2 linked regions of the Diceros bicornis minor genome follow. The protein of the gene in region 1 interacts with the protein of each later gene in a pairwise test. Links are inferred from orthologs where the notes say so. Each region holds a gene or a part of one and is shown in the gene's direction. Other genes may lie near its edges.

Region 1 (7,395 bases):
GGAGTAGCAGTGAGGATTAAACTAATCAATACATGTAATTACACAAGATGGTCAGCTGATAGGAAATACTCAATAAATGATAGCTGTTATCAACAGTGAAAGAATGTAAATTCTAGTTCTACCATTTATAGTCCTTATCCTTTAAGAAATAGCTGAAATTCAGTCTTGTGTTAACAAAGCCATCTGTCCTGCAGGAATTTCAATATTAAGGTTATTTCTTGAAAGTATATTTCATTATCGCAACCTAATGACATGGTTAATAAAACTGACAAAAAATAAAACGCTTCTTCACTTGTCTTTAACTCCACCAATGGTTTTTCATGTTCCTCTATCACTTCTGGCTTTCACCTTAAAATGGTAAACAGAAGACAGAGAGGCCAACAGAGCAGTCAGCCATCGAATGAAGTGACTGATGCTCCTGGGCTTCAGGATCAACAGCTTTTCCCCTCACTCGGGGCAGTCCCACATCGTACACACAGTGGTCAGCGCAAAGGAAACTGTTCCCTGACTAACGAAGCTTGCTAGTCCAATGAGGAACTATGGAGATTTATGGTGTGGGAAAAGCATACACCTACTAGTAGTAGTAGGCAATTCAGTCTCTCTGAGCCTTACTGATACCATATTATTATGGATTCTATAAGAATGTGAGGGATGACTATGAGGCTTAGATGAGGCAGCACATATTAAACTCACAGGACTGAGCCCAGTGGAATTCTCTTTTCCCCTTTCCCTGGTATAGGTCATGCTTACATGTGCCAGTGGGAACAGAAAATAAAACTGAGGATAAAAGGGAAAAAAAACCCATGTTAAAAAATTGGAACTCTCAAATTCTACCCAAAGATACAAGTACAATCTCATCCCTCATAGGAGTTGCCATTTAGAAAAGGCTAAGAACTAAAACCAGGATGTAAGAGAATAGGACAATGTGACTGTATTGCAAATTCTGCACAAAACTGGCACTAAGTAATGTTTGCTACAAAACAGTATCTGTAGCCTCTATTTCTAATTTAAAACAACTCTACCTTGTAGTAGAATAAAACATGCAGAAGTCTTACATACCTTCAGCATTTGTACTGAGTTCTGTTGAATTTTCTTCTGCAGTTGCATACGGATTGTTTCCAACCATCGGCACAAGACAATCGGTATAGAAGTAACCAATCTTACACATACTCAGTGTAGAAATAATCACATCTACTGCAAGCTGGCCAACATTTCCAACAGACACAGCTGGCTGAAATAATAAAAATATGTTAAGTCATCAAAATTAGCAGCACTTTTAAAAGTTTAGACAGAAGACAGTAATCACAGCACTAGAACTGAACGCTTATGCTCAGGCACGTCACAGCTAGATACCCACTCTTTCATTAGCTGCAACTGAGGTGTCAGCAGGGCCTCCACCATCTTTGACACTATTGCTTTAACACTTACTGATGACCTATTATGTGTCAATCATTGCTCTAGGCACTGGGAATGCAGTAAAACAAATTGACAAAAGTTCCTGCCCTTGTGGAGTTTCCATTCTAGTGAGGGAGTGGTTTACTGTAAAAAACAAAATAAATAGTAAAATATACAGTGGTAAGTACTATGGAGAAAAATTAAGCGAGTGAGAGTGTGTGTTATGCGGTTGGTTGAAATTTTAAACAGAGTGATCAAGGAAAGACTCACTTCACGCGACAAGTAACTATGGACCTGCAAGAGGTGAGGGAGGGAGCCCCACAAAGACCAGGGAAAAGACTATTCCAGGCGGTGGGAAAGCAAGCGTAAAGGCTGTGAGGTATGAACAAAAGTGCTCTTGGGTCTTCTTTCCATTTGCTTTGTTAGTGCCTAAAGGTTGGAGTGAGCTTCTTTTCACACTAAACACACACACACACACATTTATCCCCATGACTTAAAGGTGAACTCCAGAGCCTAATGGGTATCTCCACATGGTTACGTCACAGGCAACTCACATTCAACATGTACAAAACCAAACTTTTATCCAAACTTCTTCCCATATTTTGTATTTTGTAATTCACCCAACTACCTAAACCAGGAACCTTCTTCCCTTTCCCTGACCACCCACATCTAATACACGACTAATTTTCCTTGACTCGCTCTTCACTGCATCTCTTTAATGTAGCGCCTCCTTTGCCTTCTTCCAGCAATTGCTTCTTTTTTGGCCTTCATCTTATTTTTCTGGGTCCCTGAGAGTGCTCTCTCACTTCTCACTGCTGTCACCTACTAATCCCCTGGTTCTCTCCTGTAATTCCCTTTCCTCTTCTCAAAGATTTTGCTGCTTTGGGTAGACCCTCACTCTCCTGTATCATCCATCTTTTCCTCACTATTGGATTCTTCCCGTCAGCATATACAAACGCTCTAATATCTTTCCTTCTAAAAAACTCTCCCTTGATCTCACATACCCCCTTAGCTACCACCTTACTTCTCAGTGTCCCTCCACAGCCAAAATTCCCCACAGCTGTCCACTAAAACATATGCAGGAGCTTTATCTCTGAATTAACGAGTGAATACGTACACATACACATCTCCACCTCTTCTCCCATTTATTCAACACAGTCCAGCGTGGCTTCCCTCTTCACCACTCCACTGATAACTGTCAACATTACCACCAATAATCTTTGAGACATTACTTTCGCTACGAAGCTTCCAGGTATCTCCCGCAAACATACTTTTTCCCTTTTGTGATTAATACATATGTTTCAGGGAGATACTTTGAAATGATGTAAAATTTTCTTCCTCAGTACTCTATTGCACATTATTTTTGGAATCATTGCTATTTCTTGTGTGCATTACTACAATGAAAATTGCCAAAAAGTGATTTTTCAATTACCATCACTTTTTTTTAAGTTGAGCTATAACTGACATATAACATTGTATCAGTTTTAAACACACAACACAACAATTTGATACACACATATACTGTGAAATGATTACCACAGTAAGTTTAGTTAACCTCCATCACCACACATAGTTACACATTTTTTTTTCTTGTAATGAGAACATTTAAGATCTACTCTCTTAGCAACTCTCAAGTATATAATACAGTACTGTTAACTATAGTCATCATGCTGTGCATTACATCCTCAGGACTTATTTGTAACTGGAGGTCCGTACCTTTTGATTACCTTCACCCATTTCACCCAACCACCCCCACCCACTCTGGCAACCACCAATCTGTTCTCTGTACCTACGAGTTTGTTGCTTCTTTTTTTTTTTTTTGAGATTCCACATATGAAGCTTTTCTTAACAGGTCCTTGTGACCCTCTTCCTCCCAATACATCTTAGGGCCTTTCTATATCCTTCTCAAATTTCTAGCTTAGCATTTATTGCCCTTATTGATTTACATGTGTTTCCAATTAGACTGCAAGCTTCTTGAGCACAAGGACCTAGTCTTATTCTAACATTTTCACATAACAGAATGTTTATTAAAACAATGAATGAATACGGGTAATTTTAAGAGCGATAAAACCGTGTGTTTACTAGCAAAACTTACTTTTATTACCCTATCTGTAGTTTTATGGTTAACGACGATGATTTGCTAGCTTAAGAATGACTCTAAAATTAGCTGAAAAAAGATTTCCTAGGATAAAACGTAAAGACAATGACCCGCACAACATATGTACAACGTATCTGTCACATCCAAACACATTACGTTCTACAGTCAACAAAGACTACAAACCGCAGACTTAGATACGTTTGGTGACAGCGCCAACAAAGGTTCTATTCGGACCGACGCCTCCAGCCACATCCTCCATATGTTTTCAGCGCAAGCTGAACACCTGGAAAAGAAACAAGTACTCCTCCAGGGCCGGGTGAAGCACCCCGAGTCGGGAAACAGGCGCCTCCGGAGGGGCAGCAGCCCCCAGCCGGGCAGTGGAGAGTTCGAGAAACCAGGGACTCACCATCAGGAGAGTGAAACCCGCGAAGTCGGGAACCGATTCTCCGCAGGGAACAAAATGGTGGTCCCGAAGTCGGAGGAACGGAGAAACCACGGGGGAGGAAAGAAAACGAAAACCGCAAATTCAGCACCGTGCCCCCGCGCGGAGTCCCCGGAGCCCCACGCGACGCGAGTGAGGCGGGGCGGGGCCAGGCGGGAGGGGCGGAGCCAGGCGGGCGGGGTCCTTCGAGTCCTTGGGCGCGGGGTCCTCAGGGGCCCGTCCACATACTTGCCGGTCCAGAGGACAGAATTGGACCCCGACAGGGTGAGAGTTGGGAGCGGGCGGCGCATCTGGAGACTCTGGCAAGGCAAGATGATGGGGTGCCCTGAGGTCGCGGGGTGAGGACCCCGAGGGAGGGGCAGCTGCGGGCGGAGATGATCAGGCAGAGCGAGGGACAGTCCCCAGGCTGGTTGTCCGCCCCCGTTTGAAAACAACAGTTGGGCACCTCCGCCGCCCAGCTCGCACTTGACGCGGCGTCGCGCCCCCGGGAGCTGCGGAGGCGAGCGGTGGCGCCGGCTTTGTGCTCAGCCACGACCAGCGCTCCGGGGCGGGTCGGGGCGCCTGAAGTGGGGAGAATTGGCGGCGAGGCGCCGGCTGCAGCATGTCCCTGCCCCCGGAGAAAGCCTCCGAGCTGAAGCAGCTCATCCACCAGCAGCTGAGCAAGGTGAGGGCAGCGGGCGCGCTCTTGCCCGCCGTGTGGCCTGAGCGCCCGGCCTGGCGTCCCTTGGCCCGGCCGACGGCGGCACCTGTTTGCCGGGGACTCGAGCAAAGGCTGAGACGCGGAGCGCGGGATGCGCAGAGCGTCGGGTTTGACGCCAGAGGAACTTTCTAGTCTCGGTGAAAGAGCGAGCCCAGAAAGTGCCAGTAAGAGTCTGAGGTGATGGAGCGGTGTTAGTGTCGTAGGACAGTGTGGAAATGAAGCGTTTATCGGGGATTTCTGGAAGTCAGGTCGAGTATAAGTTGTGTTTGGAGCAGGTTTATATTCAGAGGTGGGAATTAGAATTACTTTAAGGGTGAACCTTGCCGTGTCGTTGAAGTTGAAACAAATCAGCAGTTCTTAAGTCATGAAAGAGACGTTACTAAAGGATTTGTAATGAAAGTATTTGTGACCCTTCGGGGCTCAGGAAGAACGTTGTCTTGGAGGCGCTCAGCTGAATGCAGTAAGCTGCTGTACCACGAACTCCGTGTATTGTGCGCTTGTTTGCCGACTTTTGTGTACGCCTCACAGTCTTGACAGGGCACTGTTATTTCCCGATCCATAAAGGGTAAACAGGTTAACTGGAGGTCACATCTAGTAAGTTGAAAGCTGAAATTCATACTTTGATTGTCTTCTCCAGGTTTGTGTTATTTTGATTATACAGTATTCTCTCTCCAAAGATTTGTTTTGGTTGAGTGTTATTTGTGGGGAAATGGTAACGAGGGTAGTAGATAATCAGAGATTATTTCTAGAATTTGTACTAAAAAAAATTCATCTTTAAAAAATTTTTTCTTTGGTTTTTCCTTTAAAAGATTTTACCTTTATTCTCATTGAATTCTGGTAACAATTTTACATTTACTATTAGCTTAAGAAGCTTTCCTGAATTTAGTCTGTGTACTCTCCCATTTTTTTCTTTGAGTCAGTATTTTAGAAAGAAATTACCTAATTGGCAATATTTGATTGCTTTGTAATGTTGTAAATTGTAATGCGAGTTTTCTGCATAGATGGATGTCCATGGCAGAATAAGAGAAATCCTTGCTGAGACAATACGTGAAGAATTGGCACCTGATCAACAACAGTTATCAACAGATGATTTGATTAAAGCCCTTAGACGTCGGGGAATCATTGATGATGTGATGAAAGAACTTAATTTTGTTACTGTGAGTGAGCTTTTAGGGGAAAAAATTTGATAGTATAAGTGTATTCTCATGCTTAATGCTGGTTATAGGGTCTATATTTGGGGCCTCTCCTGTTAGTAAAACCACTTTAGAATAAGACCATTTTGTCTAGTAATATCTTTGAAGTATAAGCTAATTCTACCCTTGAATGTAGCAAGTAGGATTATGTATCAATGAAATTGGGGTTATGTACCATTTTCCTTTCTTTACAGTGACAGAATTTTCTCTTGTTATTCTCTAGGTCTATAACTTTAAGTATATATATTTTAGTCAAATTAGTTAGCCATAACCTAGTTCTTTTTCACTAGTATTGTTCTATAATTTTTTAGATTAAGCTTATTTTAAAAATAAATACACTCTTTTGGAACTATATTCTCTGTGATTAACAAATTATCAGTTTCTCTAAGAAAATAATTGTGTAAGAACCTTCAAATCTTTTCACACAAATAGGTCAGTAGTGAGATGGTAGCCTCTCAGTGCACAAATTAGTAAGTAGGCCTTCTTTTGAAAATGAGGCAATAATTAGAAACTGTGACCTCAATACCTGGGTAATATAATGTAAAAATTGGATGGACTTCATAATACGCCAGGGAATAAGTATTTTAATACAGCATCCTTTTTTGGTTTGTGACGTTTATAAACCCATTTGTTAAAAAATTGACCTAGTAACAGCTTCTGCTGTGTGAACGTCACTTCCTTATTAAAATCAATTCATGGTGGAATCATAAGCCAAATGTTATATGAGGTTAGAGAAAGTTTAACTTCGTTTAAGGTATTAAGGATTTGTTTTTAGCATTCCATGGACATTGCTGGAAGTCAACTTAATTCCTTAATATTAGACTTTGGGAGTGACCGGCTGCATCATCTTTTTTGCAGGCTTTTCGTTATTTTAATAATACTAGGAAAATAAAGGGTTTTTTGAGGGGCTTTAGCTTATCTACTTGTGGTTCAGTTCTAAGTCCCATTATTAGCATTTCCTTGTTTAACTATAATTTTTGTTTTTAACTTGTTTTGATTTTTTTCTGCTTTTTTAGGACAGTGTTGATCAAGAACTCCCTTCTTCTCCAAAACAACCTGTTTGTTTTACTGATAAACAGTCAACGTTGTTAAAAAAAAGTATGTGTATTTCTTGTTAACATTAATTTAGTTGTGGATAGTACTGTGGATAGATGTGGTGTAGTGTTTGGTATTTGATAGAAAGCATTTCAATTTTTTTCCCCAGAATGAAATACTTACATTTTTGTGACTAATCATCAAAATGTTTATTTGCATGAAGTATATCAGAAGATTTAATATATAGCAGAGTGGAAGCAAAAATAGGACCAGCTGTTTCTCGTGTTTTAATAATATATTTTATAAAAAGTATATGGCCTTGCTTTTTTAGTGGTAATATAATTGTCTAAGGACTATACTTGCTGAGTTGATAATTGTCTGAGTTGGTTTGTGGAGGTGAAGGAATGTTGGATAAGCAACTAAAAAGCAAAGGTATCCTAAACTTTTGCTCTGACTCCTTTCTAGCTGAGAGAAAGTAGCCAGAATGTAAACTCAGAAAAAGAGATCATATTATGTATCTTTCCTTCCCTGG
Region 2 (6,925 bases), on another chromosome or scaffold:
GATCATGATCCATTGATTATGCTTCCAGAAATGCCTCCTAAGAGAGCCCAGGGCAGCCTGGGGGCTACCAGTAGGCCATATGGAGACAGGGTGGTGCAGGCCTGTGGGGATGCTGCCCCAGAGGGCTGGGCTGGGGCCTCTGGAAAGCTGGAGGGTTTACCAGAAAGGTTTCGATGTGGACAGGAAGGGAGGTCCCCAGGATAGATGGAACCAGGGCTGTGCCCAGAAAGACAGAGTGGGGAAGGCAGCCTGTAGCAGATCCCAGAGGGCCCCCCAAGCCTGTGGTGACAGATCCAAACTCAGTCCAGCAGGCGGTGGGACTGCTGAGGAGTGGGTGGCTGAGGGGAGCAGACCCCAGGGACAGGAATGAGCCCGAGCCAAGGAGCCTGTGAGCAGTGCCCAATCCTGCCTCACGTTCCCGCCTCTCCTCCCATGCAGGACATCTCCTCCAGGAGCCATTCCCAGCCCTGCCCTGCCCTGAGCTCCCCAGCTCACTGCCATCTCCAAAAGCACAACAGCAGGCTGCCGGCGGTGGCAGAAATCCATTTCACAGGCCCCATTTACAGAGCCTCGCCCAGACAAGGCCGCCTTTATTCCCAAGCCCACGACCCTGACGCTGGGCCCCACACCCTGAGGCCTTTGGTGTGAGCACTTGATGTCCTGCTGGTCAGGCCCCAGCCCAGAGGGCACAGGGCTCATGCGGCCTCAGGTTCTGGATGGCACCCACAAGGAGAAGGCCCTGTGGCTTCCGCCACCCACCAGCCCCTCCAGTCCTGGAGTCTTTAAGCTGAAGGAGAGCTCACCACTGAGCCTTTGCAACAAGGCCAATTTGCCTCTGGAATTAGGATTCCCTCCCGGGAGTGTGACCAATTGAGTCCCTGTTGCCACTTGCAGAAGCTGCCATGGCTTCCAATGAGAGTGAACCCAGAAACCAAGTCCAGCTCTAGATGGCCTGGCCCAGAGGGCAAGTGCTCTGAGCCTGCACCTTGTCCCTTCAGCAGACAGCTGGGACAAGGCAGCTTTTGAAAATCATAGGACAGTTAATCAGGGATAGCTTGTGGGAGGTGCTCCTCCCTGCTCAGGGCCATTTCTAGGCCACTCCACCTCCCTCAGGTGAGGCCCCTGCTCCTGGGGCTGGTGCCGCCCAGCTATCTGCCCGCTACCCTCCTCAACATTATGAGGCAGCTGCCCTCCATCATTAATGAGGTCCAGAGGCTCAGGCCCCCAAGCCCCAGGCCTGGCCCTCTCCCAGCCCATTCAGCGCCTCTATCCGCCCTCTCCCGTGGCTTGTCCTCTGTCTGGCTGTACTGCACTGCCCTTGTCCTGGGCCTTGTCATCGTCCACTATGGCTCCACAGCGGAAATAATCCTTGCTGCCTACCACACCCCTACTCCCTCAACAAGCACCACTCTCTGTCCAGCTCTCCTGGGGGCTCCCATCACACCCGACCCTGCAGCCCCACAATGCATGCTGCTCTCAAAACACTCCCTGCTCTATTCCCCACCAGGGAACCTAATGTAATTAACAGTGACAGAGGTTTATACTTCCTGAGGGTTGGCTGAGTGCCAGGGGACTGCACCATCTGCTTTACCTATCATTTAACCCTTTTACTAAGCCTAACTTACAGATGAGGGAAAAACACTCAGTTATTCAGTAATCCAACCCAGAGCCCGCTCCCAACCACTGCCCTGGAACAGCCATTTCCTGGGAAATCCTCCACTGCTCTAAGCTTGCTGAGGGCAGGAACTTCTCCCATGTCCCTGGCACACAGTGGAAACCCCAATATTTATAGAAGGCAGCACACTTGTTCTTTAGTTTTTAAAAATGTAAGTAGGTAATGTCACACTTCCACTTAAAACCTCCCAATGGCTCCACATCTCGGAATAAAATCCTAGATCCTCAGGACAACATGCAAGGCCCCACACAATCTAGGCTCAGTTGTTACCACTCTCCTTCCACTGACCAGCCCATCCAAGCATACCAGCCTCCCCTCCTTCCTTCTCTTCAAACACAACAAGCACCACCCCACCTCAGGGACCCGCTCTGCCCAAATATCTGTACTGTCCACTCCTTCCTTCCTTCCAAGGTGTCTGTTCTAGTGTTCCTTGATCAGAGCCTTTCCTGACCCCTCTATGCAAAATAGCACACACTCATCACTCTGTATCCCTTTACCTTGCTTTATTTTTCTCCCTAGCAATGATCACCACCCACCATATATTTCTCTTTCTTGTCTCTCTCCCTTCTCTCCCTGCTTGCCACAAAGTATGTGCTCACAAATACCTGTTTTTGTGAATGAAGATCTACAATCCCTCTCCACTCTGTCCCTCTCCAATAGGCCCTTCCTATCTTCACTCCCACCACTGCCCCACCCCTCTCTCCTGCCAATATCCTCAATTCCTTTGCCTTCCATCAAACCTGTTGGAAGACTCTCTGGGCTGGATGCATTCCACCGTCCACCTTTACCGTCTGATGCCTCACCATGATGTCCACTAGAGAAAGCTCATCACTGAGCACAAACCCTGCCAACTCCGAGTTGCTTTCCTTTCAGGAAACCCCTTCTTTAGCCCTCCCCCCTGGGAGCCGATAACAGATCCTGCCAGCACAATACAGAGACCACTCAAGAGCCAGGCACCAAACTGACAAGCTTGCCTGCCCACACCCACCCCTGCATCCGTCCACTGTGCGCCAGGAAAAAGGGGGCCCTTCGTCGCTGCGCTCCGGGGTCAAAGGCCCTCCTATCTCTCACCTCGGTTACAGCCCCTCCCACTCTGCCGTACAAGTCTCGATCCCAACTCTCCACCTGGCTGCGGGCCCCTCTCGTCACCTCACATTCTAGCAACCCAACTCCGTCTCCACTTCCCCAGGACTGCTTGTCCAGACCTCCTTGTAGCAACACCGAGAGGACGTTCTCAGCCCCGGCCTTCCGGCTCCTATCTGCAATGTTTCGCCCTGGGTACCGCCCCCTGCTGCAAACGCTCTCCCCGTGCCTTCTGCAGCATTCTCCTGGTTCTCCCGCTTCCCACTTTCCCCGGCTGGTTCGCACTGGTCCTCGATCCCCCGAAGCTTCTCCGAAACCACGAGAGGCGGGATGCGCGCCGGCCGGTTCCCCCGCAGCTGGCGCCCACTTGGTTACCCTGACCCCCTGGATCCAAGGGCGGGGACTGCCGAGGTTTCGGCGTTGCTGGCTCTCTCTCCGGGCCCAGCACGGAGCGCAGCACGCAGCAGGCAATCATAAATGTGACCTAAGTGCACAAATGCGTCCCAACTGGACCTGGTGCAATTTTCACCAGAGAAAAGTGCCATTCCGGGACGGCCTGGCCCAACCTGACGAGGAAACGCTCCCGCTTCCTGCACAGCTGGCACTTGGGGCGGGCACTGGGCCGACCGCGACCGCAGACGGGCTGGGGGCCAGGGGCGCCGCAGGGCCGCCTCTCGCAGGCGGCTCCCACCGGCAAAGGGCGCCCCCCTCCCCCCCGGGCGGCTGCACTAGGGCCGGGACCCCGCCGCTGCCGCCCTCAGGCCGGCGACCAGGAGTCCCGGTGAGGGCGCCCCGCCAGTGACCGGCGCCGCGGGGCAACTCACCCCGTGCAGGTGGAAGCCCTCGGCGCCGCCCGCGGGCTGCTCGGCGCTGGCGCCCAGGCCCATGGCAGCGGCCCGGATGCGGCGCCCCAGTCCCGTAACCCGCTGCCCGACCTGGCGCCACCAGCGCGAGCTCGCCCTCTCGGCGCTCGATTACCAGCGCCTGGTCACGTGGGCGCCTGGCTGCTCCCACCCCTGACTCTGACGCCCTTAGCAACTGGCCGGCAACACCGTTTCCAAGGACGCGCGCGCCTCCCGCTTCCGGCCACGAGAGGCGTGCCCAGGACTCTGAAGGGGCATCTGGCTTCGCGCGGCACCACCAGACCCGGACTCGGAGCCACAAGCTCCCGGAGATGAGCGGCGATGACTCCGCCCTTATGGTGCGTGGCCCGGGCGCTGCCCGCCCGCTCCCTGCGGGATCCTCCGCCCCTGGCCCGGTGACCCCCGACCCTGCTTCTCTCCTGCCACCTCTCTGACCGCTCCTGCTGTCCGCTTTACCTGCCTTCCGCCGTCCCCGGCCGCTGCAGGCGGTCCTGGCCTCTTCTCGCCTCGCTCTCCCTGGAGAGTGCATCCTCTCTGGTGCTCTCAGTGCGCCCTGAGCCCCAAATCAGCATCCCCACCCAGCCCTGTCCGCGAGCTCCCCCAAACCAACGCATCCAAAACCCATTTCCATCCAAAACCCATCTTTGTCATCTTGCCATCGTCTCCCCCTCCCTTGCTTGTGAATCTTCTGTGTCCCCCAACTCGGTAGATGGTACCGCCGTTTGGTCCCCAGTCTTAACTCTTCCCCATGCCCAACTCCTGGTCCTATCTATCAGCAAGAAATGTCAGCTCCTAAGTGTCTCCTGATTATCTCCTAGACCAGGATCACCCCATCTCTCCCCTGGGCACCTGCAACAGTCCCCCTCCAGACTGGTTTCTCTGCTTCAGCCCTCTTTACCAGCAGTTCCCCCTACTGCCACTACCACCACCACCACCACACACACACAGACGCACTCAGCAGCCAGAGTGGTTTTTGCAAAAACACACATCTGAACACATCCCTCCCCCTGCTTAAAACCATTCCAACTGCTTCCTATTACCCTCAGGATGATGTCTGGGCCCTTTCATATAGCCCACAAAGCCGTTTACAATCCAACCACGGCTATCCCCAACCCCAGCACCCACAAACCTTAGGGGAAGTGACACTTTGCTTTGAAATCTCACCCTCTATTACACGTGACCTTTGTCAAGCCATGGTATCCATGGGCTTCAGCTTCCTTAACTGTGAAGGATATAGAGAGGATGATGCATAAGATAATGGATGTAAAGCCCTTGATACAGTTCCCAAGAGGTGGTTAGCCCACAGTATCTTGTAACTCTAACTATTGGTGTAATTATTATTATTATCGGTCCTCTCTCTCTCCCCTTATTCCCTTCCTAAGGCAAAGCTTGAGTTGAAGTCTCCATCACATTTGAACCAGAATCTGTGGATAATTCCAAAACAAACACCTCCAAACTCCTTCCCGGGGAAACGGCATGGAGCTACTGCTGGGGCTGGTCAAGGGCAGGATGCGGCCTAAATGTTCTCTTCCTCTTCCCTTTGCAGATTTGAGGAAGAGCGGGCAATAGGGGAGGGAGTGCGTCAGAACAGAGACACAGAAGGGACTGGGGTTATTGCAACTGTGTCTTCCTCCCTGCAGGCTGGGATCATTTACTACAGCCAGGAAAAGTACTTCCGCCATGTGCAGCAGGCTGCGGCCATGGGCCTGGAGAAATTCAGCAATGACCCCGTGCTGCAGTTCTTTAAAGCCTATGGAGTCCTCAGGGAAGGTAAGGACTCACCAGTATTGGCCTCGTGACCCCAGGCACCACCCCCACTAACACTCTGGCTCCACCTGGTTGCCTGCTTATACCCCAGTCATGTTTCCGTGGAAACAGTCTTACACTCAGTAACTGGATTCCCAGGTTAATTCACAGAAGCCTGTGTAATTCACATCTAGTTGACTTTTGAGACCTCAGAGAGTTCACTACTCCTGCTCTGCACCTCAGTTTCCCTATCTGTAAAATGAGTGTGTGGAGAGCTGATTGCACGATTATTGAACTAATCCCAGGCTCAGAAGTTGCAAGCCAATAGTGCAGGAAAAGGAGGAAGCGGTAGGTGTGGGTACAGGCGGGTATGATACAGGAGCAGAGAGAGGACTGGGGCCCACGCACGTGCTGACTTGCTGACACTCAGAAAGTGGTCCTGGGCTGGGGGCCGGCTGAGTGTTCCATAGGCAACGTCAGTGGATGTGGAGGGATAAATGTAATCGGTGGCTCTTGAGCAGCTAGCTGAGAATGCCCTGAGGTCCCTCTTCAGAACTGACCCCCAGCCAAAACTCCCGGCCTCACAGGTATCCCTGCGAATACTCACAGGTACATCTCTCAGCTCCAAGCTCTCCAGCCCCCGGCAGCCTGGGCTCTGGTGCCAGCAGCCCTCTCAGAGAGCTTGTCTTCCGGGAACTTGGGCCATTGGGGACCTTTTGCACCAGTTAGTCCTCTGGTTCTGGGTGAAACCAGGTGGTGACAAGCCTTGGGTCAGCCCTGATAAGGGCTCCCATGTGTCTGCCTTGGAGCTTCCTGTCCTCTGGGCCTGGTGCCCAAGAATATAACCACATGGGCTTTCTTTGCAGAGCGCCTCCAGGATGCCATCAACAACCTGGAGAGCATCCGGAATCACCCAGACGTGTCCCTGTGCTCCATCATGGCCCTCATTTATGCTCACAAGCGCTGTGAAACCATCGGTGAGTACACCCATGCTCAGCTAGGCCTGAACCTGCTGGGGAAAGAGAGCTCTGCTCCAGACACACAGCCCCTCAAGGGCTGCCGAAGGAAGTGTGTGCGCTGGTGACTGCAGATGCTGTTGGCCAGCGAGGAGTGGCTGCTGCTGCCCTCCCGCGGGAGGCCTCAAAGAAGACCCCATACCCAGGCGCAAGCAAGTGGGAGCCACAGGCAGAGAGCATGACAGTGGGAGGAGTCCTCCCTCCAGATCCCAAGAGTTGGAGAGACACCCTGCTTTTCTCTGCCAAGACCTTCTTGAGAAAAATCAAGCTGATATAAGTAACTCTGTCCCTAATCTCCACCTCTCAAGAGTCAGGGAGAGATTCCAAGAGACTACAACTACTATTTCCTCCCACCCAGAGTGGATTGTGGGCCTGGGGTGGGAGATTTAAGCGTAGTCTGTCTGCTCAGCAAACTGCAGGGCACAGAGGAGAAAAGATAAATCCCAGAAAGCAAACCCAAGTCCAGGCCTGGGCAGTCTCTGTGGCATCACAGGGGCCGATGTTGCTGGTTTCCAGGCCCCAGGCTGGCATGTAGTCAGCTA

The links.
Region 2: the proteins of CEP76 (region 1) and TTC21A interact in a two-hybrid assay, tested with the Homo sapiens proteins (2 studies listed by BioGRID). The two-hybrid records come from large-scale screens. The link is inferred for Diceros bicornis minor from reciprocal best matches to the Homo sapiens genes CEP76 and TTC21A.

What each region holds. Positions count from the first base shown.
Region 1 is NC_080755.1:10,841,345-10,848,739, forward strand, and holds the start of CEP76 (centrosomal protein of 76 kDa), read left to right. Parts: upstream 1-4,325; 5' UTR 4,326-4,536; coding exon 4,537-4,599; intron 4,600-5,636; coding exon 5,637-5,792; intron 5,793-6,844; coding exon 6,845-6,926; intron 6,927-7,395. UniProt on the Homo sapiens protein: Centrosomal protein involved in regulation of centriole duplication. Required to limit centriole duplication to once per cell cycle by preventing centriole reduplication.
Region 2 is NC_080741.1:41,867,583-41,874,507, forward strand, and holds the start of TTC21A (tetratricopeptide repeat protein 21A), read left to right. Parts: upstream 1-3,905; 5' UTR 3,906-3,932; coding exon 3,933-3,959; intron 3,960-5,261; coding exon 5,262-5,391; intron 5,392-6,233; coding exon 6,234-6,344; intron 6,345-6,925. UniProt on the Homo sapiens protein: Intraflagellar transport (IFT)-associated protein required for spermatogenesis. Required for sperm flagellar formation and intraflagellar transport.